Anolis sagrei: one gene and its partner. The protein of the gene in region 1 purifies or fractionates together with the protein of each later gene. This does not show direct contact. Links are inferred from orthologs where the notes say so. Each region holds a gene or a part of one and is shown in the gene's direction. Other genes may lie near its edges. The genes, in order: G3BP2 and CAPRIN1.

What was found.
Region 2: the proteins of G3BP2 (region 1) and CAPRIN1 purify together in Homo sapiens (affinity purification with mass spectrometry; 5 studies listed by BioGRID and IntAct, with this or other methods). This does not show direct contact. The link is inferred for Anolis sagrei from reciprocal best matches to the Homo sapiens genes G3BP2 and CAPRIN1.

Annotation. Positions count from the first base shown.
Region 1 is NC_090026.1:55,182,995-55,196,195, reverse strand, and holds the start of G3BP2 (ras GTPase-activating protein-binding protein 2), read left to right. Parts: upstream 1-7,899; 5' UTR 7,900-8,053; intron 8,054-13,201. Other genes in the region: USO1 (general vesicular transport factor p115), read right to left, coding at 2,452-2,517.
Region 2 is NC_090021.1:268,157,418-268,170,395, forward strand, and holds the start of CAPRIN1 (caprin-1), read left to right. Parts: upstream 1-6,035; 5' UTR 6,036-6,196; intron 6,197-6,296; exon of another isoform or gene 6,297-6,391; intron 6,392-6,530; exon of another isoform or gene 6,531-6,553; intron 6,554-6,908; 5' UTR 6,909-6,920; coding exon 6,921-7,103; intron 7,104-12,978. UniProt on the Homo sapiens protein: mRNA-binding protein that acts as a regulator of mRNAs transport, translation and/or stability, and which is involved in neurogenesis, synaptic plasticity in neurons and cell proliferation and migration in multiple cell types.

The DNA of each region.
Region 1 (13,201 bases):
TAGCAGGGCTCAGGTTGCATTGCAGCAGGTGGTCAGTGGTTTGCTCTTCTCCGCACTCGCATGTCGTGGATTCCACTTTGTAGCCCCATTTCTTGAGGATGGCTCTGCATCTCGTGTTGCCCGAGCGCACTCTGTTCAGCGTCTTCCTAGTTGCCCAGTTTTCTGTGTGCCCATGGGGGAGTCTCTCAATTGGTATCAGCCATAATAATAATAATAATAATAATAATAACAACAACACTTTATTTGTACCCCTCTACCATCTCCCCAAGGGACTCGGTGCGGCTTACATGAGGCCGAGCCCAAATACAACAATACAAGCAATAATAACAACAATACAAGCAATTAAAAAATCATAGACAATAAAATACACAACATTATCAATAAGACAACACATAATTAAAAAACAGTAGGAAGACCAAATGTAGAGTTAAAATTGGAAATAATGCTGGGACATGGACGAAAGGTGATACTGCTGTTTGTGGAAGGGCATATGAGCAGACCTAAAGAAATGTAAAGTGCTTTGGAGGACAAAGTGCTATGGGATCATTATTCCGGGAAGGCACACTGGAACAGCCACGTCTTCAAGCTCCTCCTGAAGACTGCCAGAGTTGGGGCCTGTCTGATGTCTTTAGGGAGTGAGTTCTAGAGCCGAGGGGCCACCACCAAAAAGGCGCTCTCTCTCGTCCCCACCAATCGCGCGTGCGAGGCTGGTGGGATCGAGAGCAGGGCCTCTCCGGATGATCGAAGTGATCGTGTGGGTTTGTATATGGAGATGCGGTCACGCAGGTAGGCGGGTCCCAAACCGTTCAGGGCTTTGTAGGTGAGAACCTGCACCTTGAATTGGGTCCGGTAGATGAATGGCAGCCAGTGGAGCTCCTTGAACAGGAGGGATGACTGCTCCCTGTAAGGAGCCCCAGTTAAGAACCTAGCTGGCGTCCGTTGAATCATCTGAAATTTCTGGGCCGTTTTCAAAGGCAGCCCCACGTAGAGTGCATTGCAGTAATCCAGTCTAGAGGTGACTAAGGCGTGGACCACTTTGGCCAGATCCGCCTTCCCGAGGTACGGTCGCAGTTGGCGCACGAGTCTTAATTGTGCAAAGGCCCTCCTGGCCACCACCAACGCTTGAGCCTCAAAGGTAAGCATGACAGGTGAGATGGATAGGTTTTTGGAGATAGGTGCGGTGTGCAGACAATCTTAAATCTCTAGTAAAGTGCATTTGGGACATGATGCTAGGAGTTTCCTATTCTGGGAAGGCACACTGGAACAACCACGTCTTCAAGATCTTCCTAAAGACTGCCATGGTTGGGGCTTGTCTGATGTCCTTGGGGAGACAGAGTCCGGGCGCCACCACGGAGAAGGCCCTGTCCCTCGTCCCCACCAATCATGCTTGCAGTGTAGGTGGGATCGTGAGCAGGGCCTCTCCAGATGATCGGAGAGATCGTGTGGGTTCATATACGGAGATGTGGTCATGCAGGTAGGCGGGTCCCAAACCGTTTAGGGCTTTGTAGGTAAGCACTTGCACCTTGAATTGGGACCGGAAAATGAACAGCAGCCAATGGAGCTCCTTAAACAGGAGGGTTGATCTCTCCCTGTAAGGAGCACCAGTTAACAACCTGGCTGCCGCCCATTGGACCAGTTGGAATTTCCGGGCCATTTTCAAGGGCAGCCCCACGTAGAGCGCATTACAGTAGTCTAATCTGGAGGTGACTAAGGCATGGACCACCCTGGCCAGATCCGCCTTCACGAGGTACGGTCACAGTTAGCGCACGAGTCTCAATTGTGCAAAAACCCTCCCGGCCACCGCTGACACCTGAGCCTCAAACGTAAGTGAAGAATCCAAACAGCAGACCTGTGACTTCAGGGGGAGTGCAACCCTGTCCAGCACAGGTTGCCTCCCTATACTCCGGTCTGGTTTATGATCGACCAGGAGGACCTCTGTCTTGTCAGGATTAATCTTCAGCTTGTTCAGCCATTGGTTGAGGTTCTGGGTTTGAGCCTGCCACTTTTGGACTCTCGCTTGCTGAGATCTGTAGATCTTAGAAAACTATTTCTTGATTTAAGTCGTTGACATACTGGCTGATATAGATCAGGCATGGGCAAACTTTGGCCCTACAGGTGTTTTGGGCTCCAACTCCCACAATTCCTAATAGCCTACCAGCTGTTAGGAATTGTGGGAGCTGGTAGTCCAAAACATCTGGAGGGCCGAAGTTTACCCATGCCTGATCATGGAGCACACTTGTGTTTCTCAGTACAGCAACTCACAGCACCCCACATTATAAATTATACTTGCTTTTAGAGATAGTCCTTTCCTGACTATATTGTGAAGGCAGGGACCTACTGAAAGGGCGACTTCAGCCCTCAGGTTGGGAACTAGGCCGTGACAACAAACCAAGGGAGGCAAAATGGCATGCAGTGCTTCCCAAGGAGGAAACCCCAAGCCGCCTGACTCACCGTCTCGGCTCCAGAAGGCTGCGGCCCAGCGCTCTGGGCGCCCATGACGCCCCGCAAGAAATTCATCTTCCCGACGGGCCCGGCTCTCTGGCTAGGCCGCAGCCGCTTCGTGTCTCTCAGCCAGCCGCCGCCGCTCTACTGCGCCTGCGCCAAGACGTGGCACAAAGATGGGCATCATAGAGACAGAACACGAAGCGACGCACGAACACCCTCGACTTCCGGTTTCTGTGTAGACTCTTCTATCTTCGACAGCTACCCATAAGGGGAAGCGAAGGCTGCATTTACACTGCACTTTGACACCACTTTCATTGCCATAGTTCAGTGCTATGGAAACGTCAGAACTGTAGTTTTACGAGGCCTTTTTTTTTTTTGCTGAAGAGTGTTGACGCCTCACCAAACTACAAGTCCCAAGATTCCATAGCATTGAAGCATAGCAGTTGCAGGGTTGTCAAATTGGGTTAATGATATAATATATGCATTATAGGCCTAAATTATAGGCGGAAATAGAAGAACGGCCTGCCTCAGGGGAGCGTGCTTGCTCCATCCATGTTCAACATCTACACAAATGACCAGCCACTGCCAGAAGGGACAGAGAGTTTCATCTATGCTGATGATCGTGCCATTACCGCTCAAGCAGGGAGCTTTGAGATGGTTGAACAGAACCTTTCCGAAGCTCTAGGTGCTCTTACTGCCTATTACGGGGAAAACCAACTGATCCCTAATCCATCTAAAACACAGACATGCACCTTTCACCTTAAGAACAGACAAGCATCCCAAGCTCTGAGGATTACCTGGGAAGGAATCCCACTGGAGTATTGCAACACACCCAAATACCTGGGAGTCACTCTGGACCGTGCTCTGACCTACAAGAAGCACTGCCTGAACATCAAGCAAAAAGTGGGCGCTAGAAACAACATCATACGAAAGCTGTCTGGCACAACCTGGGGATCACAACCAGATACAGTGAAGACATCTGCCCTTGCACTGTGCTATTCTGCTGCTGAGTATGCATGCTCAGTGTGGAACACATCTCACCACACTAAAACAGTTGATGTGGCTCTTAATGAGACATGCCACGTTATAACGGAGTGCCTGCGCCCTACACGACTGGAGAAATTACACTGCTTAGCCGGTATTGCACCACCTGACATCCGCCGGGAAGTAGCAGCCAATAGTGAAAGGACCAAGGCAGTGACATCTCCAGCTCATCCCCTGTTTGGGTATCAGCCAGCACGTCAATGACTTAAATCAAGACATAGTTTTTTTAGATCTACAGAGACACTCGCTGGAACACCCCAGCAAGCGAGAGTCCAAAAGTGGCAGGCCCAAACCCAGCACCTCAATCCATGGGTGATACCAGATGAGAGACTCCCCCCTGGGCACACAGAAGACTGGGCGACTTGGAAGGCGCTGAACAGACTGCGCTCTGGCACCACGAGATGCAGAGCCAACCTTCAGAAATGGGGCTACAGGGTGGAATCAACGGCATGCGAGTGCGAAGAAGAACAAACCACTGAGCACCTGCTGCAATGCACCCTGAGCCCTGCCACATGCACAATGGAGGACCTTCTTGCGGTAACACCAGAGGCACTCCAAGTGGCCAGATACTGGTCAAAGGACATTTAACCAACTACCAAATTTGCAAAATCTGTGTTTTTGTTTTTTTTTTTTCTTCTCTTTTTAATCTGTGTGTTTGCTTTGCTCTGTTAGAATTGTAATACAATGGTATGGTTGCTGATGACACGATAAATAAATAAATAAATAAATAGGCCTAAATCTCAAAATGTAGGTGAGGACTGAAGTTGTCTTTTCAATAAGGTTCTGCCTTCACTTTGTGGTCAAGCAAGGACCATATATATTATGTAATCTATATATCAATATATAGTATTATATGTTTGTTTGTATTTTTCAAGAAACCCCCAACTTTCAGAGAGCACTGGAACTCCCACCAACAATGGATCTGGACCAAACTTGGCACACAGACCCACCACCCCCATAACCACCAGAACATACTGGAGGGGTTTGGTGGGATGGGCCCTAGATTATGTGAGTTATAGTTTACCAACATCCAGAGGCCACTCTGAAGCCGGTTTGGGGAAGGTGGGGGCTAACCTTGAATTCTGGAAGTTGCAGTTCACCTACAATCTGAGAGCACTCTGAATCTACACGATGATGGATCTGGACCAAACTTGGCACACATACCCAATATGCCCAACTCTGAATATATATTCATATAATAAATACGCATCTTGATTTAAAAACCAAGGAGTCTGCATTTTTCATTTGGGATGAAGAAGGTATCTACTACTGCATCCCATCCATGATGATGATGATGATGATGATTATTATTATTATTATTATTTCCGTTACTTTTACCCCGCCCTTCTCACCCCCAAGGGGGGACTCTGGGCGGCTTAGAGGAAGGCACAATTCGATGCCTTTGTCACATATACATACATATATAAAAGCAATTAAACAGTTACAAATTAAAATTAAAACCATCAATACAATAGAATACAATAACACAATAGTAAACTAATCCTGAGCTCAGCGTTTGGAGTTCCGTAAATCCATTCCGTCAAATTCTAGCTCATCATCAAGTCTTTCTTTGGCTGCCAGAATGTCCAAATGCCTGGTCCCATATCCAGGTTTTCAACTTTTTCCTAAATGAAAGAAGGGAAGTTGCCGATCTAATCTTTGTATCGTGAATGTTCTTTAAACTATGGGCAGCTCTCTCTCTCTCTCTCAAGGGAGTTGTAAAAACAGGTTCCAAGCTCCATCTACACTACCATATAATAATTTGAAACTGGATTATATGGTCAGTGTAGATTAATGTAATGTAGTTAAGCTAATAGAAATAAACAGATGGATGTGTCTTGAGTGTCCTCTCCAACTCAGTAGAGGAAGCAAATGGATGTCCTAAAATGGATGTCAGGATGGTGCCTTTCTGCCCAGAAGAAGGGGGTCAGTCTAGATGTTCCTTGATGAGGTCTGTACTATGATTTCTGTTCTCCCCCAATTTAACACAGTTTGTGCCACACAAAGTTTCTGGAGTAGAACAACTACTTTCAAAGTAAAAAACACACAATTAAACAGGAAATAACACTTTCAAACCAGGAACAGATTTTCTTTATTATTAATTTTTTAAATAAAAACTTTGAAAATTCACCAAAAATCCATGGATAAGTCAAAGGTTATGAAATTTGGTGAGCTAACAGTGGTCCATGTGTTCTACCGCTGTCGCAAGTTTCATCAGGGTTGGTCTAAAAATGAGGGAGAATAGAGAATCCCCCGAAGTTTCACCAGTGCTATTTTTCCCTACTGTGTATGCACATCTGCATTAACAAATCGATTCAGAAGTTTCAGAAGTTTCGGAAAGTTCCAACTTCTCCCCCCAGAAAAATTCAGAAATGTGTTTAGAATTGAACCACCAGCACTCTTTACATCCTAAACGAGTTTTGAACATTTTTTAAATCAACCAAACCTAGTGTCCAGGGATGCATAGTCTGCAAATCTGCTGTAGCAGTGTTCATGCAGAGCATGTCTAGTAATGGTGAGAGTGCTGATCCCTGATGCACACCAACAGTGATAGTGAAAGGTGGTGAAATCTCTGCAGGGCAGCAGACCATACTTGTTCTTAACTTTTAATATGTTTGAAGGAGCTGGGCATGTTTAGCCTGAAGAAGAGAAGGCTGAGAGAAGATATGATAGCCATGTAGAAATATGTGAGAGGAAGCCACAGGGAGGAGGGAGCAAGCTTGTTTTCTGCTTCCCTGGAAACTAGGACGCGGAACAATGGCTTCAAACTACAAGAAAGGAGATTCCATCTGAACATGAGGAAGAACTTCCTGACTGTGAGAGCCGTTCAGCAGTGGAACTCTCTGCCCCGGCATGTGGTGGAGGCTCCTTCTTTGGAAGCTTTTAAAAAGAGGCTGGATGGCCATCTGTCAGGGGTGCTTTGAATGCAATATTCCTGCTTCTTGGCAGGGGGTTGGACTGGATGGCCCATGAGGTCTCTTTCAACTCTAGGTTTCTATGATTCTATGGATTTTAACTGAATGCTTAAAAATACTGTCTGTGTTTAATTCTGTTTCAATGTTTGTATATTTATATATTTTAAATTGGATACCAATGATTTTATGTCAAGCTGCTTTGAGTCCCCTTTGGGGAGATAAAAGTGGGATATAAATATTATTATTTTACTGACACAAAAACACAGTATGTCACAGCAAATGAGATATAGATGCTGTATTTCGTATCACAAAATCACAAGTCGAACACTTCCCAAGCGTCTAGGACTGTATGGTGTATTTTCGAATGATGCGTGCGGATCCAAGCAAGGTGGCCTTTTGCAGTTGACATATTGTGATTTTTGTCAGTGTTTATTGTTTATAAATGCTGGATGAGCTCTTCCGGAGATACTTCTGGATTGGCACGGCACCCAGTAGCTTCATCCATGTTAGATAGTCTTCTGGTATTCCATGTGACCATAGTGCTCACCAGATCAAGTCATGGGGAATCTAATCAAATGCTTTTTCACGTTCAAGGAATGGTATGTAATGTGTTAGGTTGTTAACTGTTTTTATACTGTAGCACTGAATTTTTGCTGTTCGTATTTGTTGTGAACCGCTGTGAGTCGCCTTCGGGCTGAGAACAGCGGTATATAAGTAAGGTAAATAAATAAATAAATAAAAATTATTATATTATGTTTAGGGCGGGATATAAATAGTATTATTATTATTATATGTACAATATTAGCATGGCTTGCTAGCAATTCACTCTCAACAAGAGATTCCCCCCAGGCGCTTCCAGGCCATTGAATGCAAATCAAGGTGATCAGCTGAAACATTACCCTGGTCATTCCAAAGATATATAAACCCATTTTTCCTACTTCCAACAGACCTCACTACCTCTGAGGATGCTTGCCATAGATGCAGGCGAAACGTCAGGAGAAAAATTGCCTCCAGAACATGGCCATATAGCCCGGAAAAACCTACAACAACCCAGTGATCCCGGCCATGAAAGCCTTCGACAATACCTTGCTAGCAATGTTTACGAAAGAACCTACAGGGAACCGGAAGTGGAGCGTGCACGAAGCTCTCTTCCAATGAACTCTTGAGAGAAGAGAATGGCCGGCTTCGAGGTTTTTTTGGGCGGACTTCAACTCCCAAGCGCCTCAGAAGCTTGTCTAGGCGGCAGGAATTGTGGGAGCTGAAGTCCCAAAAACCTGGCGGCCCTAACGGAGGACGTTACAATGGCCTTTCCTTTCCCGGAAGCGTAAGCATAGAGAGGATAAACAAAAGAAGGACGCCAAAGCCGGACTTCCGTTTGGCCCATCACTTCAAAAGCGTGCTCCTCGCGCACCAGATGTGGCGGCTTTAGCCCCGCCCACTCCTGGCGGCTATTGGGGACCTTTTCGCAGGCGCGCGCGCGCTTTCGGCCTCGCGCTCTCCCGGCGGGGAGCGAGAGAGCCACTTCCGGTTCCGCCCGGACTCCGTCTGAGGGAAGGAAGGAAGGAGGGAGGGACGCGCAGCCCCAGTCGCTCCTCCCCGTGCCTTCGGCCGGGAGCGAACCGGATCCCGAGACCGCGGAGAGCGCCTAGGTGGGTAACGGGGCACGGGCGGATGGGGAGCCTCCTGGGCCCGCGCTTTGCCTCCTGGCGGGGCTTTTTTCTCGCCCCTCAGAGAAAGGACGTGGCGGAGGAGGGAGGAGGGGGGATGCTGCTGCTGCTGTCAACAGCAGTTAATTGCACAGAGCTGCATTATGTGGGTCTACGCTGACCATATCATGCAGTTCCAAACTGCATTGTATTGCAATGTAGATGGGCCCCCTTCAACCCCGCCTCCTAATACGCAGTAAACGTTGGCCTCGAATCAGTGTATTCGCCTTACAACTACCATGTAAGGCAGGTCAGTACTGAGGAGTTTGCAGAAAAGCCGAGGTTTATTTCTTTTCACCATTCTTTCACCAATAATAGTAATAATAGTACTAGTAATAGTTTTATTTCTTATTGTGATATAATAATACTATTACATATAATATTAATGTATTGTCGAAGGCTTTTTGTGATATAATAATACTATTACATATAATATTAATGTTTTAATGTAATCTATCTATATATAAATAAAAATGTAATTTCGTTTGTGGGATTAACAGAACTCAGAAACCACTGGATGAATTAACACCAAATTTGAACACTAATCAGGCCAACGAGTGACCATCACTCATAAAAACACTGAAAAACACAGAAGAGACTTAAAAAGCCAAAACGGCTCGGAAACTCCAATTGATCCAGCGGGCAGCAGCCAGAATGTTAACTGGGGCCCATTACAGAGAGAGGTCAACCCTCCTGTTTAAGGAGCTCCACTGGCTGCCGTTTGTTTTCCGAGCCCAATTTAAGGTGCAGGTGCTTACCTACAAAGCCCTGAACAGTTTGGGACCACCCTACCTGCGTGACCGCATCGTTGTCTACGAACCCACACGCTCACTCCGGTCATCTGGAGAGGCCCTGCTCGTGATCCCGCCCGTGTCACAAGCGCGTCTGGTGGGGACACGGGACAGGGCCTTCTCCGTGGTGGCCCCCCGCCTCTGGAACACCCTCCCGAAAGACCTCAGACAAGCCCCTACACTGGCAGTCTTCAGAAAGAATTTGAAAACCTGGCTGTTCAAATGTGCCTTCTCAGACTAGGAACCCTATATGCCTTCTCTGGCTAGAAACCCCAGTTCCAAATCCCAGAAGCACTTTAGTCAGAATCAAGACCACCGCACACTGCACACCACATTTATATTATAATCCCATATCCCTCCGACACATCAGCACTTTTAATCCTGTACCCCTATTCCGGCCGGCTCAATTTTTAATAATGTCTTGCTGTATTGCTATTGTATTTGTTTTTCTGCTTAATTGTCTTATTTGCTATGTATTGTATTGTTGTATTGTGTGGGCTTCGGCCTGTTGTAAGCCGCACCAAATCCTTCGGGAGATGCTAGCGGGGTACAAATAAAGTTATAATAATAATAATAATAATAATAATAATAAAACAACAACAACATTACAACGCATGCACAAACACACATGTATACACATATACACAAATATATATACAGACACATCTATATAAATAAAAATGTAATGTTCCTTTGTGGGATTAACATAACTCAAAAACCATTGGGCAAATTAACACCAAATTTGAACACTAATCAGGCCAACAAGTGACCATCACTCATAAAAACACTGAAAAACCACAGAAGAGACTTAAAAAGCAAAAAAAAAAAACCAACAAAAACATTACAATGCATGCACAAACACATATGTATACACATACACACAAATATATATACAGATACATCTATATAAATAAAAATGTAATGTTTGTTTATAGGATTCACATACTCAAAAACCACTGGATGAATTGACACCAAATTTGGACACAATACACCTTATCAGGCCAACGAGTGACCATTACTCATAAAAACATGGAAAAACACAGCAAAAGAGACTTAAAAAGCCAAAACACAAAAAGATAAATTACAACACATGTACAAAACACACATATACACAAATATATACACCCATATATATACACACAAAACACATATACACAGACTGAGCCACAGCAACGCGTGGCAGGGGACAACTAGTTTTATATATATACCTCGACTTATTATATAATACAATATATAATAGTATAATATACTGCGCATGTGTTGTGGTACGAAAATATAGTACAATACAATATATAATTATATAATAATGAGATATAATCTATATAAATAAAAATGTAATGTTCATTTGTGGGATTAACATAACTCAAAAAATGCTGGGCGAATTGACACCAAATTTGGACACAATACACCTCTCAGGCCAACGAGTGACCATCACTCATAAAAACACTGAAAAACACAGCAAAAGAGACTTAAAAAGAAAAAAAAATTAAAATGCATTACAACACATTCGCAAAACCACATATATAAACAAACAGGCATATATACACATATATATAAATATATACACACATATATACCCGTACAAAATACATATACACAGACTGGGCCACAGCAACACGTGGCAAGGGATGGCTAGTCTATATAAATAAAAATGTAATGTTCATTTGTGGGGTGATCATAACAAAAACCACTGGATGAATTAACACCAAATTTGAACACGAATCAGACCAACGAGTGACCATCACTCATAAAAACACTGAAAAACACAGAAGAGACTATGAGGAGCAGCTTAAGGAGCTGGGCATGTTTAGACCACACCTGGAATATTGTGTCCAATTCTGGGCACCACAATTCAAGAGAGATATTGACAAGCTGGAATGTGTCCAGAGGAGGGAGACTAAAATGATCAAGGGTCTGGAGAACAAGCCCTATGAGGAGCGGCTTAAGGAGCTGGGCATGTTTAGCCTGAAGAAGAGAAGGCTGAGAGGAGATAGGATAGTCATGTGTAAATATGTGAGAGGAAGCCACAGGGAGGAGGGAGCAAGCTTGTTTTCTGCTTCCTTGGAGACTAGGACGCGGAACAATGGCTTCAAACTACAAGAGAGGAGATTCCATCTGAACATGAGGAAGAACTTCCTGACTGTGAGAGCCGTTCAGCAGTGGAACTTTCTGCCCCGGAGTGTGGTGGAGGCTCCTTCTTTGGAAGCTTTTAAACAGAGGCTGGGTGGCCATCTGTCAGGGGTGCTTTGAATGCAGTATTCCTGCTTCTTGGCAGGGGGTTGGACTGGATGGCCCATGAGGTCTCTTCCAACTCTTTGATTCTAAAAAGCCAAAAAAACAACATTACAACGCATGCACAAACACACATGTATACACATATACACAAATATATATACAGACACATCTATATAAATAAAAATGTAATGTTCATTTGTGGGATTCACATAACTCAAAAACCACTGGACGAATTGACACCAAATTTGGACACAAGACACCTATCAGGCTAATGAGTGACCACTCATAAAAACATGAAAAACACAGCCAAAGAGACTTAAAAAGCCAAAAAACAAAAAGATAAATTACAACACATGTACAAAACACACATATACACAAATATATACACCCATATATACACACACAAAACACATATACACAGACTGAGCCACAGCAACACGTGGCAGGGGACAGCTAGTATATATATACACACATACACAAAACACATATTCACAGTTTGGGACCCGCCTACCTGCGTGACCGCATCTCGGTGTACGAACCCACACGATCTCTTCGTTCATCTGAAGAGTCCCTACTCACGATCCCACCTGCATCGCAAGTGCAATTGGTGGGGACGAGGGATAGGGCTTTCTCGGTGGTGGCCCCTCGACTCTGGAACTCTCTCCCTAAGGACATCAGGCAGACCCCATCGCTGGCAATTTTTAGGAGGAGCTTGAAAACGTGGTTGTTCCAGTGTGCCTTCCCAGAATAAGGAAACTCCAAGCATTTTGTCCCCAACACACTTTATCAGAGATTTAGGATATCTGCATACCCATCCCTCTCCAAACACCCACCCTTTCTCCTGGTTATGCAGCACTTTTTAATTTTAATTTTTAATTATTACATTTGGCCCTGCCATAGTTTTTAATTGCGTCATTGTGTGTTGTTAATGTTATTGCTTTGTTTTTGATTTATTTTGCTGTATTATTGTTGTTGTTGTTTTATTGTTGTATTTGGGCTCGGCCTCTTGTAAGCCGCATCGAGTTGTTTGGGAGATGGTAGCGGGGTACAAATAAAGGTTTATTATTATTATTATTATTATTATTATTATTATTATTATTATTGGCCACAGCAACGCATGGCAGGGGACAGCTAGTTTTATATATATACCTCGACTTATGATATAATACAATATATAATAGTGTAATATACTGGTGGTATATTATATGTGTTGTGGTACGATAATATAGTACAATAATATATAATAATATAGTAATTATAATCGATATAAATAAAAATGTAATGTTCAATAATAATAATAATGTAACTCAAAAACCACTGGACGAAGTAACACCAAATTTGGACACAATGCACCTATCAGGCCAACGAGTGACCATCAGTCATAAAAACACTGAAAAACACAGCAAAAGAGATTTAAAAAGCCAAAAAATAAAAAATGCATTACAACACATGCGCAAAACCACATATATACACAGACATATATACACTTATATACAAATATATACACACACATATACACATATATACATGTACAAAACACATATACACAGACAGCCACAGCAACGCATGGCAAGGGACAGCTAGTCTATATAAATAAAAATGTAATGTTCGTTTGTGGGATGAGCATAACTCAAAAACCACTGGGCGAATTGACACCAAATTTGGACACAATACACCTATCAGGCCAAGGAGTGACCATCACTCATAAAAATACTGAAAAACACAGTGAAAGAGACTTAAGAAACAAAAAAACAAAAAAATTACATTACAACACATGTATTTGTATATTTTAAGTTGTATTGTAATGCTTTTAATTGTGAGCTGCTTTGAGAGATAAAGCGGAATATAGATAAATAAATGAAATTTCTTGCCTGCTACTTCTCATGGCTTGAGGCGGATTAAAGCATTACTAAAACACAGAATCATATTAAAACACTCTGTAAAATACACATATTAAAACATACCTATACACAAAACAAAACCAGGAATACAGTGGTGTTTAAAACTCACAATTAAAACTGTTTGGGAAGGACCAGATGAAAATATACATAAATGGAGGGTTAGT
Region 2 (12,978 bases), on another chromosome or scaffold:
GCCAAAATGCCACATAGCTTTTTACACATACTGAACAGGATCATATCTGTTCCAGCAATTTCAGTAAAATGCTTACTATTTCACAATTTTCTGAAAGTACTGCTCTTTTTTGTTTCCAAAATGTTTCATCATGTGGAAGGGAAACGCAAATATGTAACCAAGCCCAAGATAAGCAAATCAGTATAAACAAACACGTAAGAGTGAGACTTTACTGTTATGCTCTCATCTGATTGCACAAGGCTTTACAGATGTCAGCAGTAATTATTTTCTTCTGCATTGGGAAAGCGGGTGGCCTTTCATGTTGATTCTGCAAGGAACGTACTGGTCAGTCCTTCCAGCTATATGTCTTTTCATTTATTATAGTTTTATCTTCACAGTGATAGCCATCAGAATAGGGTTTTTTTGTTTGCATCATTAATATGGAATTGACAAGAAATCTAAAATTTTAACACTAGAGAAGTTGATCATGACTTCATAATTCATACAACTGTAAAGGATTGACTATTGAGACCGTATATAAGAAGCCAGTTTTGATATTGTAATCCATTCGCTGGCAGCCAAACATGGCTCTCTTTACACAGGCAAAAAGAAAAAAAAACCCTGTTCACTTTGTATTGGCTCCTAACCTGACACATGCCACACTTGAAAGAGAATTTATTATTATTTATTAACCATATTTATATACCGCCTTTCTCAGCCTGAAGGCAACTCAGAGAGATTTACAAACAGCACAATTCGATGCCTACAATAACAAAGAACAATTAAAATATTTAGCATAAATAACATTTGATAAAATAAAATAAAACTAATAACAGAATTGCTTTTTACCTGCCATTCTAGTCAATGATTTTGTTTTGGTGTTTTTTGCAGGTGTAGACCGACTCCCTATCTCTATGAGTATACATAATTTCTATTAGTTACCCATTCATTTCCCAAAACAATTCAGTGTAGTATCTCCAACATACAATTAAGAAACTTTGGATACCATTGTCTCATTTTCTTTGCCTTAAGGGTCTGCTCTGTAGATTGTCATCATTAGAAATTTGGTGAAAAGAAGGGCCTGATGATGGCATAAAATTATGGAATGGGAGGATGCTTGCCATACCTCTACCTCTGAGGATGCTTGCCATAGATGCAGGCAAAATGTCAGGAGAGAATGCCTCTAGAACATGGCAATATAGACCGAAAAAACCTACAACAAACCACTGATTCCAGCCATGAAACCCTTCGACAATACATGGAATCGCTTTGCTAGGTCACTCTGTTGTGATCCTTTCTCTTCTAACATTTGATGGATGCTCCTAACTCTCAGTTTTTTATTAACCAGTAATTTTGCTACTATGTGAAATGCTAAAGTATTTAATATACTATTGCTGTAGTTTAATAAATACACATTTAGTGTACATTTTGTCTTAGATGTTGTAGTGGATCATCCTGATTTTCCCGTACTTTTTACAGATTTAAGATTGTTGGATAAAGAAATTAAAAATTAGTTAAATTAAGTGCCACTTTTCACAAACCTATAACCTTTTCTACACATTTAGCACCAAGATGGAGGAACTAGAACACATTAAAGAATACAAGAATCAGTGGCATAAAACTTCATTTACAAGAGTATATATGCATTATATCACCAAATATATGTTGCAATCATCTTGAACAGCCAACTTTTGCTCATACCTACCGCAAACTTGTGAATTAGTAAAACAGACGCAGCTCCACATCTTCTCCTTCAGCTACTTGTGTTTCTTTTCCCACCACTACTGATGCCTGCAAACTCTCTTCTCCTTCAAAGCAACAAGAGGGCTCACAATCCGCTTTCAATGTGGTTCACTTTTTTTTAACCAACAATGGGTTTTCTGGTACCATATTGTGCTCAAATTATATGTAGCACTTTTTACAACATGCCATCTATGTTGTTAGCCACCCTGAATCCCCAAGGGGAGATGGGACAGGATACAAATAAATTTGACTTGATACAGTGGTTAAATTATTTTTTTAAGTGTCAGATACGTATTTTACCAGAGTAACTTCTTTCCATCAAATGATACACAAAGGGAAAGCTCTTGTGAATATGTGTAAGAAGAAATGCAAATTAAGTATTTCTACTAAGCTATCTTGAATAAAATGGCCTTAAACACTGAACCTTTTCAAAACTGCTCCACCATGTAGAAGTGTGGTTGTCATTTGACAACCAAAGATATTTGCCCACAAAAAGCTAAATTTTGTTGTGTCCAAAATACCACAATGGCTATCCCAACTCCCAATAATAATATTCTCTAGTAAAATAAGACTCATGTTTTCAGAAAGGATTGAGTTTTGTAAATTAGATAGAATTATAATTGTTCTGATGTGAGTCTGAAAGTTAAACCTTAATGCCTCAGGGAACAAGATCAATAAAATATTCAAAAGGCTACAACTGAGAAAGATAAAGGCACACTTGGCACAGTAGTAAAGGAATCAGTTATTTGAATCTCACAGCCTAATGCAATACAAAGCCACAGTTGGTTCTGAGTTTCCAATTTCTTATTCAACTCAAAGCACCATCATCAGCCCGGGAAAGGCAATGAAACCAACACAACACAGCACATTAGAATAAGCTTTTGCTCATTCGAAACCACACATTCCTGCCTGCCTCAAGATATCCAGCATTATGTCAGGTCAAATAACTGTTTTCATACTGTGTATTTCAATATACAGTTCCTACAGGAGGAGTGGTCCTTCACAATGAAGTAACCACATTAGGACAGATCAATGTTCTATACCAGTGGTTAGAAAACTGCCTCATATGAAAGGCATTGTGGAAGTCATCTAAATAAAAACCCTCTAAATAAAATTTAAAAATAATGACATTTACCTAAATCAATAATGTTTGATAGTTTTCTTTAGTTGGTAATATATAATCTTCTTTCCCAAGATAGGGAATGTGTGGCTGTCTACATGCTGTACATGTGCAACTCTCTACATGTGCGGCTCTTTATCACCCCTAGTCAGCATAGATGTTGTCAGACTGAAGGTCAACATGGTTCCAACTCCCTATGAACCACCTAAGAGTTTAAGATCATCCAGGAAGGCCCTGCTCTCAGTCCCGCCTTCTTTGCAGGTTCGACTGGTGGGGTTGAGAGACAGGGCCTTCTCAGTGGTGGCCCTTCGGTTGTGGAATGCCCTCCCCAGGGATATTATATCAGCCCCTTCCCTGTTGACCTTCCAGGAAAAAGTGAAAGCATGGCTATTTGAACAAGCCTTCGGAATCTCATGCAACAGTCAAGCATGGTATTAGACAAAAGCGAACATTGGAACGGCTCAGACGACCATTTATGGACAATGAGACTAACAATGAAGGCATTGGTTTTATATGTTTTTAAAGGTTTTACTGAATGTATGTTTTAATTCTGTTAATTGTATACTGTTAGGCATCAAATTGCTGCATGGTTGTAAGCTGCCTTGAGTCACCTTTGGGTTCGAAAAAGGCAGGATAGAAATATTTTAAATAAATAAATAAACTCATGCAATACAGGAAAGAAAATGGAGAAGAGTCATATGCCTGCACAACTATGAGATAAGTCCACAAGAAATGTCTGTTTGATTCCATGCTAGTTTCACAAGGATGCTCTCAATGTGTTTAGCAGTCATAGTCTTTCCTTTCCAATGTGCTCCATTGTGGGAACTATATCAGTGTCCAATGATGCAAATCATGCTAGGGTTGTCTAACTTTGTACTGGAGTGGGGTTTCAGTAATGTATTAAATTGGTGTGTATTGTGCGGGATGAATTTTACAAATACTTATCTATAATGGAGTAAAGCAAAACACACAGGATAACAGGTATAAAGGGAAAGGTTAAGCCCTTCTTAAAAGCACTTTATACTGGAAATATTAAAAACTCATTAATAAATCAGTATTTCTGGGTTCTTGAGATCACATTTACACACAGAGATGTGAAAATGCTTAGAATTATGAAGACTTAAGCATTTATTCTTAGATTGAGTACAGTTTGAAATAAACAATAAAGGTATAACAACGAGATTAGCACAGCATCACTGGTGATGGTGTTCCGGGGTTGTGAATTCATTTTTTTCCCTGGCATTCAAGATATTGGCTCACTTTTACTAACCACATTTAATAATTTGGGGGTAATGACCAAAATAGCATTTTATGTGTCATGTCACTCAAAACAGAATATATGGCAACATTTTAGGAGGTATTCCCATGGTTTATTTACAACACAATCCCTGTCCTCTTGAAATTTTCTAGAACACAGGAAGTTATTATAGAATCTTGTTGGTAAATTCTTAAAATACCTCTCTAGGAAGTTCTCTAGAGGAATTCTATGGTACTTCCTGGTTGTTCATTTTAGTGAGGTTCGCTATTATCCAGTTTCCACAGTAAGTTCAGGAATGTATCCCCAGATATGGGGGTTATACTGTATTTAAAATGTTTATATATTGCCTAACTTGCCTTGCCCTTCAGAAAGTTTATAAATATAGAAACAGCGAAGTCCCCCATTGTCATCTCAACATGTGCCTTCAAACTGCTTTGCTTGTGTCTTTCAAGTTGATTGTTAATTTGTGACGACCCCATACATTTCAGAGGGTTTTTTTCTTTAAAAAGAGAAGGAATATTTAGACATGGTTTTTCTAATTCCTTTCTCTGAAATACAGTCTGCAGTGTGTGATATTCATTGCTGAGTTTCCAACCGTTAGTAACTAGGACTGACCCTCCTTAGCTTCCAATATCAGATGGCATTTGGTGATTTTATGGCATGGCAAGTAAGGGTTACAAAAATAATTTCTGCTTCTCCAAAACCTCAAACTGGGATTTTTCTGCATCATTCTAGTACAGGCCTGGGCCAACTTGGACCCTCCAGGTGTTTTGGACTTCAACTCTCACAATTCCTACTGGCTGTTAGGAATTGTCGGAGTTGAAGTCCAAAACATCTGGAGGTCCAAAGTTGGCCCAGACCTGTTATGTTGTGAATGAACTGAAATCTAAGCACCAGCTGAACACGACTGTAGTGACTATGTATTGTTGAAGGCTTTCATGGCTGGAATCACTAGGTTCTTGTGGGTTTTTTTCGGGCTATAAGGCCATGTTCTAGAGGCATTTCTCCTGAAGTTTCGCCTGCATCTATGGCAAACATCCTCAGAGGTAGCGAGTCATTAATAAATGACTCTATTATTGCATCTATGCATCTATCTAATATTGCATCTTGCATCTATGGCAAGCATCCTCAGAGGTAGCGAGTCATTAATAAATGACTCACTACCTCTGAGGATGCTTGCCATAGATGCAGGCGAAACGTCAGGAGAAATGCCTCTAGAACATGGCCCTATTGCCCGAAAAAAACCCACAAGAACCTAATGTAGTGACTATTTGTTTTGTTTCCTAACACAAATGTAACTGAACTAGATTTTAAAAACTTATTAAGTTTCTGGATTTATTACCGTTATGTCTTTGTCTCCTAATTCTTTGCCATGTGCCTGCAACACATGTTCGAATTCCCGAAGGCTGAAAACTGAAGCTGGGGCCTACGGTGTTTCTCAACCCTTGGCTGGCCAGGTGTTTTGGACTTCAACTCCCAGAATCCATTAACCATTGGCCAGGGCAGCTGAGGATTCTGGGATATGAAGTCCAGGGCACTTGGAACTCGCGGGCTTCCAAAGGCCTCTCTAACAAGTCCTGCCGAGTCCCCTGGGAGTTCTTTCCACGTACAGCGAGAGCGCAGCCGCAGTGCGTTCACAAAGCGATACAAAGGGGCTCCGAGAAAAGACGAGACAAGGAAGCGGGCAAGCCAAGGAAAAGCCATCCCTCGAAACGAGGCCCAGCCCACAGGAAGGGGTCCTTTCAGCACAGAAGCTCCTCCGCCTGACTATTGTGTCCGCGCTTAGGCGCCCGCCGCGCCTGAAGCACCTTGCCCCGCCCCGCTGTGCTTTCAGTCAGGCACTTGGCGAGGGCAGCCCCAGCGGCTGAGGACCCCTCTCGGCTCGCTCCCTGCCCCGCCCGCTTCTCGCTCTCTCTCTCTCTCTCTCTCTCTCTCGCCTCACCGTCTCTAGCAGGAGGAGCGGTGTGCAAGCGCCGGGCCGGAGTGGGCAGAGGCGGCCATTCGCCCTCCGCGACTGTGAAAGCAGCCATTCCCTTGCCTGTATCTCTCTCCCCCTCCATTCCCATTCAGTCACACAGGCGCCGGCACCTCATACGGTGAGCAGGAGGCGGGCAAAGGAGAGAGAGAGAGAGAGGAAGCGTTGGGCAGCAGCGGCGGGGGGAGTGAGGAGGAGAAGGAAGAGCCCGGCGGGGAGCCTGCCAATCACGCGGGGAGTTCCGAGCGCGAGCTAACTCTCTTCTCCCCCTCTCCCTACACCGTGCGCGCGCGCGCGCGAGATAGAAAGAGAAAGGGTTGGTTGGCGCGAGCTCACTCTCTCCTCCCCCCTCCCCTCACTGTGCGCGCGCCATAGATAGAAAGAGGGTTGGTTTGATCCTTCCTTCCTTCGCCGGCGGATCCTAACGAAGTAATTAATCCCGGGTTGCCTAAATATCGTTGGGGGCGCGCCTCGGCAGGTGCGGCCTACCTCACGCGTTCGAGGAGAAAAAGGACGGGAGGAGGGAGAATAGAAAAGGCCTGCTTAGGAGTCAATGGGCGTTCTGTCTTTTGTGTGCATGTCCCTTTAAATACCAACCAGTTGGAATAAAAAAGCAGTCTCGGGCGAGTGGGAGAGCGTTTGTCGATTCCTCCTTGCTTTGTGTCCCTTCTGGCGGCCCGTCCTTTCTGTGCCTCGCGCTCTCTCTCTCCTCTCCCCACCCCCATCCCCGCCCGCCGGCCGCGGTCCGCCATCTGCCTGCCTCCCGCCCCTTCTTCCTCCTCCTCCTCCGGCCCGTAACGCGCTCCTTCTCCTCCTCCTCCTCCTCCTCGTAGTCACAGGAAGCGATGCCCTCGGCGACCACCAGCAGCAGCGCGATGGCGAGCAAAGCGGTGAGCGACGTCGCGGCGGCGGCGGCAGCAACGGCGGCGGCGGCCACTTCGGGCGGAACGAATTCTGTGCAGACCGAGGCCATGAAGCAAATCCTGGGCGTCATCGATAAGAAGCTACGGAACCTGGAGAAGAAGAAGGTGAGGGCCTGGGCGGGGAGCGGGTCCCTCGGCGCGCCTTTTGTTTCCCAGACCAGGAGGGAGGGGGGAAGGGGAGGCCTCCTTTGTTCTCGGGGCTCCCTCGGCCCGGAGCCTCCCCCGCTCCCCTCCCGCCCCATTCCCCGCTCCCCCTCCCTTCCCACAGAGGCCTCGGCTTCAGCCGCCCCGGCCATTCTCCTTGCCTCCCTCCCTCGGCAGCCCCGCTCCTTCCGCACATGGACCCGGCCGGGACTCAACATGGCGGCGGCGGCGGTGAGAGGCAGCGAGGCTTCCCAGGGAGGGAGTCGAGCCTCTCATTGTGTGAGAGCGGCTGCTGGTTCCTTCCGCACAAAGGCCCTGCAGCCTGCCTTTTTCTCCTCTCTTTCTCTCCCTTTTCCGCCCCTTGACTTCACTCTTGCCACAGTTCCGGAGGAGCAGGCAAAAGACGGAACGAGCGTGACCTTGGAGGCCCCTGTTTAATATCAAAATAGCAACATATTACCCAGTCCCTTCGTGCGCAAGTGAAAGGCCTCCCCAGTTTTTATTGCAGCTCCAGGTTGGGAGCTCAGGTTTCTGCGGTGAGTGGCCAAAGGAAGTGTCCACATCACAAATAAGATTTCTGAAGGGAGATTCTTACAAGTACAAGTCCTTACCTGCATGAAGATGAACAAAATCTGGCAACCAGTATTTTAAAAACTCTAAAATCAGGACTGTAAATAAAGAGCAACACTCAAAAACCAGAGGAATTCCAGACAAGAATCAGTCAGGGCCAGCTAGCACCTCCCAACAAAGGATTCCTCCAGGCAGCAACCAGCCAGGCTTTGAAGCTGCAAGGGCATTCAATGCTAATAAGGGTGGCCATTTGCAGCATTCACACTTGCCCCAAACAGACAAGAGTTCTCTCTCCCACCCTGGACACTCCACTGATATATCAATCCCACTTGAATAGTTTCCAACAGACCTCACAACCTCTGAGGATGCCTGCCATAGATGTAGGCGAAATGTCAGGAAAGAATAATAATAATAATAAACTTCATACCCGCCACCATCTCCCCAAAGGGGACTTGGATGAGGCCAAGCCCAGTGATACATTACAGCAGCATAAAATATAAAAAAAAAATAACATCACAATAAAATAAATAAACCAAGTAAAATAAACAGTACAAAATAACATGGAAAATCTAACAGTGGGTGGGCCAAATGCACAACATAAAATGATAAAACTCTAGATGAGAAAGCAATGAAGAAGGTACATTTGTGGGAGTTTGTAGGGGACTGAACAGTGGAATTAGACTTTCAATAAGATGGGAAAAAGTGCAATATGAGGAAAACAGTGTAGAGAATGCTTCTGGAACATGGCCACACAGCTCAGAAAACTCACAACAACACAAGTCACCATGTTTGATTATACAGGCAGTCCCCGAGTTAGAAATATCCAACTTATACTGTATACAACTCACAGTTAGGGCCAAGACAACAGGGAAATTCAGAAGGGAAATTCACTCCTGGAAGCGTTATCATGGGGAAAAGGTGTCTCCATTGAAGCTTTATCACCTATCCTTGTTTCCACAACAAGCCACATTTTTCAAAACCCAATTATCACAGGGACAGGAAGTGAGGTGAAATCTTCAGAACAGGGGCATAGACAGCAAAGCAAACTCCACATGGGTGTTAACCCTTTGCTATGCCATCAAAAGCTAAAAAATACATTTGGCTGGAAGTAAACATAAAAATCGTGATTGTTTTGACTTACACACAAATTAAACTTAGGAACAATCCTACAGAATAGATCATGTTTGTAACTTGGGGAGGGCCTGTATATGTTTTGCAGTAGTATTTCAGTTATTTAAAATCTTAAGTGTTTAGAATCATAGGCCAAAGGCACTTTCTAGACACACAATAGCAAGAATAGTGAGTTCTGTTCAAATATTGAAAAAGAAAAAGGGCAGCAATCCTGTCAGCAATTAGAAGATCATACACTAAACTTACAATCTGCTGAGAATTCATGTTTATGATAATATACATTTGAACATTGTCCCCAAATCCACCTTAGGTTACTTTCTCCAGCAGCTTGTTTTTAATGCTCTTGTGACCAGGAGAGCATTGCAGTTGTCATTTCATAGAACCATAGAGTTAGAAGAGACCATGAGGCCATCCAGTCCAACCCTCTTCCATGCACAGTGAAAATCTCCCCAATAGATGGCCATCCAGTCTCTGCTTAGCCTCCCCCCCCCCCAAAGAAAGTTGCTGTTAAGTATTGTGTTGACTTTTGTTCCCATTACTAGAATTCTAGCCTTAAGGTTCTATAGATATATCTGGAAACCTCTGACACTTGCATTCTAGTTGGCATCTATAGGATCAAATTTCACGATTAAAGCAGTTTGAGTTTTCATTATAGTTTTGGCTATTATAGCTATCAAAGTAAGCTTTCGTTGCTTGAAAGCCCTGCACTTGTTCTCTTGTCGCAAGCCTAGTATAAGAGGTATATGATTGGAAGAAAAATGAATTGGATGTAAAATTCCTTACTTTTACTTTTAGGACAGTTCTGATTCAGCAAAAGAATCCCAGTAGTGGAATGAGAAACAGCTCAACATTAAAAGAAGAAGCCTACCCTCTGTCCATGCTCCCACATGTGTTCTTCACAGCTCTGAGGCTTTTAGAAGCTTTTGTTTCATTGTTTGATAAACCATATTTTGCTGGGTTTGAACCCAGACTAATTTTGGTAAATTGGTTGTAATTCTGCCACTGGAAACAAGTGAATTTGAAACCATATTTTACAAAGTGATTAGTTTTAATTTCTTTAGTGCTGAATCAGTAAGAATGTGAACTCAAAGAAGACCATGCTGTTTGAAATCATGGCTTAATTGTGTTGGAACAAAATGCTAATGTGGTTGGAAACTGGGATATGAGATAGGAAATTTCTTAAATGTTGCACTTATCAAATAACAGATTGTTTGGGTATGCCGTCAAGTTTTATTTTGCCCTGGTCCCTTCTTCTCTCCCTTGCCCAAAATTATTCTTGAAAAAGGCTCTAGAAGTTTCCATTTGCAATGTTTGTAATGTTGACCCCCTGACCCAGGGGCCCTCAAGCTTTTTAAACAGAGGGCCATGTCACAGTCCCTCAAACTGTCAAAAGTAAATCTCAGAGGGCCAGATTATAATTTGGGAAAAATACATGAATGAATCACACACTGCACATATCTTATTTGTAGTGCAAAAAAAATGTAAAAACAATATAATAATGAAAATGAAGAACAATTTTAACAAATATAAACTTATTAGTGTTTTAATGGGAAGTGTGGGCCAGCTTTTGGCTGATGAGATAGGATTGTTGTTGTTGTGTGCTTTCAAGTAATTTCAGACTTAGTTGACCCTGAGCGAGGGCCAGGTAAATGACCTAGGAGGGCTGCATCAGGCCCTTGGGTCTTAGTTTGAGAACCCCTGCCCTGACCTAATCTACACCATGATTGTTTTGAAACAGGAAGTGTGTCTACTATGATTTCTTGAACTCAAAATAAGCCCTAAGGCAATGGTTCTCAACCTGTGGGTCCCCAGATGCTTTGGCTTTCAACTCCCAGAAATCTTAACAGCTAGTAAACTGGCTGGGATTTCTGGGAGTTGTGGGCCAAAACACCTGGGGACTCACAGGTTGAGAACCACTACCCTAAGGGAAGTTGAAATTACATTTAAATAACAAATGGCATGCTCCAGAAGCTTCAAGCATGGGCTGGTGGTGGCTAAGTGGGACCATGTCCCTCTCCTACATTTCTTTTCTAGACTGCCTGTCCCTATTTAATGCAGTGAAGTAGAGGTAGAGGTTCATTTAAATGGCTTAGAATACAAATTATTTTAAATGGAAAGGTAGCATAGATGTCAGCTTCAAATCATAGTAACTGTATAAATAAGAGACCTCTAAGAATGGCTTTCTTGATTGAATCTATTTGCAATGTGGTCTCCCTCTCTTTGTACTGTTGTCTTTCTTTCCAAGCATTATCTTTTCTACTGAATCATAGCTGTCCAAAATATGACAGTCTCAGTTTAGGCTTTTCGGCTTCTAGAATAGTTCAAGCTTGATTTACTCTGGCCCATTTATTGGTCTTTTTTAAGCAGTCCATGGTATCTGAAGAAATGCAACACCATTGCATGAGTTGATTTTCTGTCAGCTTTCTTTTCTATCTGGCTGTCAAAATCGTACATAGAAAATGGAAATACAATTGCAGAAGCAATCCTAACCTTAGTACTCAGCTATACTATCTTTACACTTCAGGATCTTATCTACTTCCTTCAGAATTTCCCTTTCAAGTTCTAGTCGTCTGATTTCTTGACTGCTGTCTCTATTCTAATTAATGGCTGAAACAATGTACTGGCAGTCCCCAAGTTACAAACATTCAACTTACAAATGACTCATAGTTAAGAGCGGGGTGAGACAGCAGGAAGTGAGAGAAATCTACCCCTTGGAAGGAAAATTACCTCTTGAAAAAGTTATCATGGGAAAAAGGTGTCTCAAATGAAGCTTTCTCACCAATTCTTGTTTCTACAACAAGCCACATTTTCCCAAATCCAATTATCACAAGGACAGAAAGTGAGGTGAAATCTTCTGAACAGTGGTACAACAGCAAAACAAACACCACATGAGTGTTTGCCCTTCGCTAGGGTATCCAAAACTTTTTAAAAAAGGCTGGAGTTACACTTTAAAATGTACCTGTTCTGACTTACAAACAAAATTCAGCTTACGAACAAACCTACAGAACTTATCTTGTTCGTAACTGGGGGTTGTCTGTATGGAGATCCTTTAAGTAATTTGATGTCTTCATTGTCTGTTTTAAAGTTATGCAAGTCTTCTGTGGTCAATATTTTTGTTTTCTTAATGTTCAATGTTGAACTGAAACCTGTCTTTGCACATTCTTCCTTGACTTTTGTTTCAAGTCTATTTTTTGCCTGTATTGTGGTTTTGAAGGTAGCCTCTTGTTTTGAGTACAGATTACACATCAGGAAAATTGAATATTGTGTCATACCCATTTCTTTAAAGATCATCCAATATTTTTCATTATCTTCATCACAAATGTTAAAACACAAGGCCTGTCACATCATTTTATATGGCCTGAGAGGCTTTGAATGCCAGGGCAGCATAGTTACATTTATAGTCTTTGTTAATAAAATCTATTCTAATGTTAACTAAAATCTGTCTCAGCTCTATTGCTGTGCCATATTTTCTTAATTATTCATTTCTCTGAAGTGCACTGAATACAGCTTCCACTTTAGATTGTGAAATTGCAGATTTATCTTCCAAAGATTCTTCCTTGAATGAATTTGTCATCCTTTTATCTTTTTTATATAGTACTTCTGTGTGCTGTTTCCATTTCTTAAAAAAATATACTTGGTCATTTCATGTATTGTGTGGTAGAGAGCACCCTCTCTCTTAGATTCAGTTTGCTTTTCATTTAGTAGATCTTGTGAAAGAGGTCCCTTCTTTTTCCTTATCATCTTCTACTTCTCAGCATTGACTATTACAGTTCTCTTTGTTCCTGTGCACAAGTTGTTTCTCTTTCCTTTTACTATTTCTTCTAGACTGCTTGAACGTTTCATCTGTCATCCATTGAGGCTTCTCTTCCTTTTCAGCTGTGGGCAGGGTTTTTTGTTTTGCTTTGGCTTTTTTTTTATTCCTCCCTGACATTGTGTTTGGCTTCAGTCCAGCATTTTTCTTGTTCCTCATCAATTAGGATTAATAGTGCAAATCCATTTTTACATTATCTTTTAGAATCTATGGGGATGTTCTTCAGGTTGTGTTTTGGCATTATAGTGGGCAGTCTTCTTTAGCTTTACACAGATTTGTATATTTGCAGAGAGAACGGAACTTCTCCATTTTCAACATCTGGTT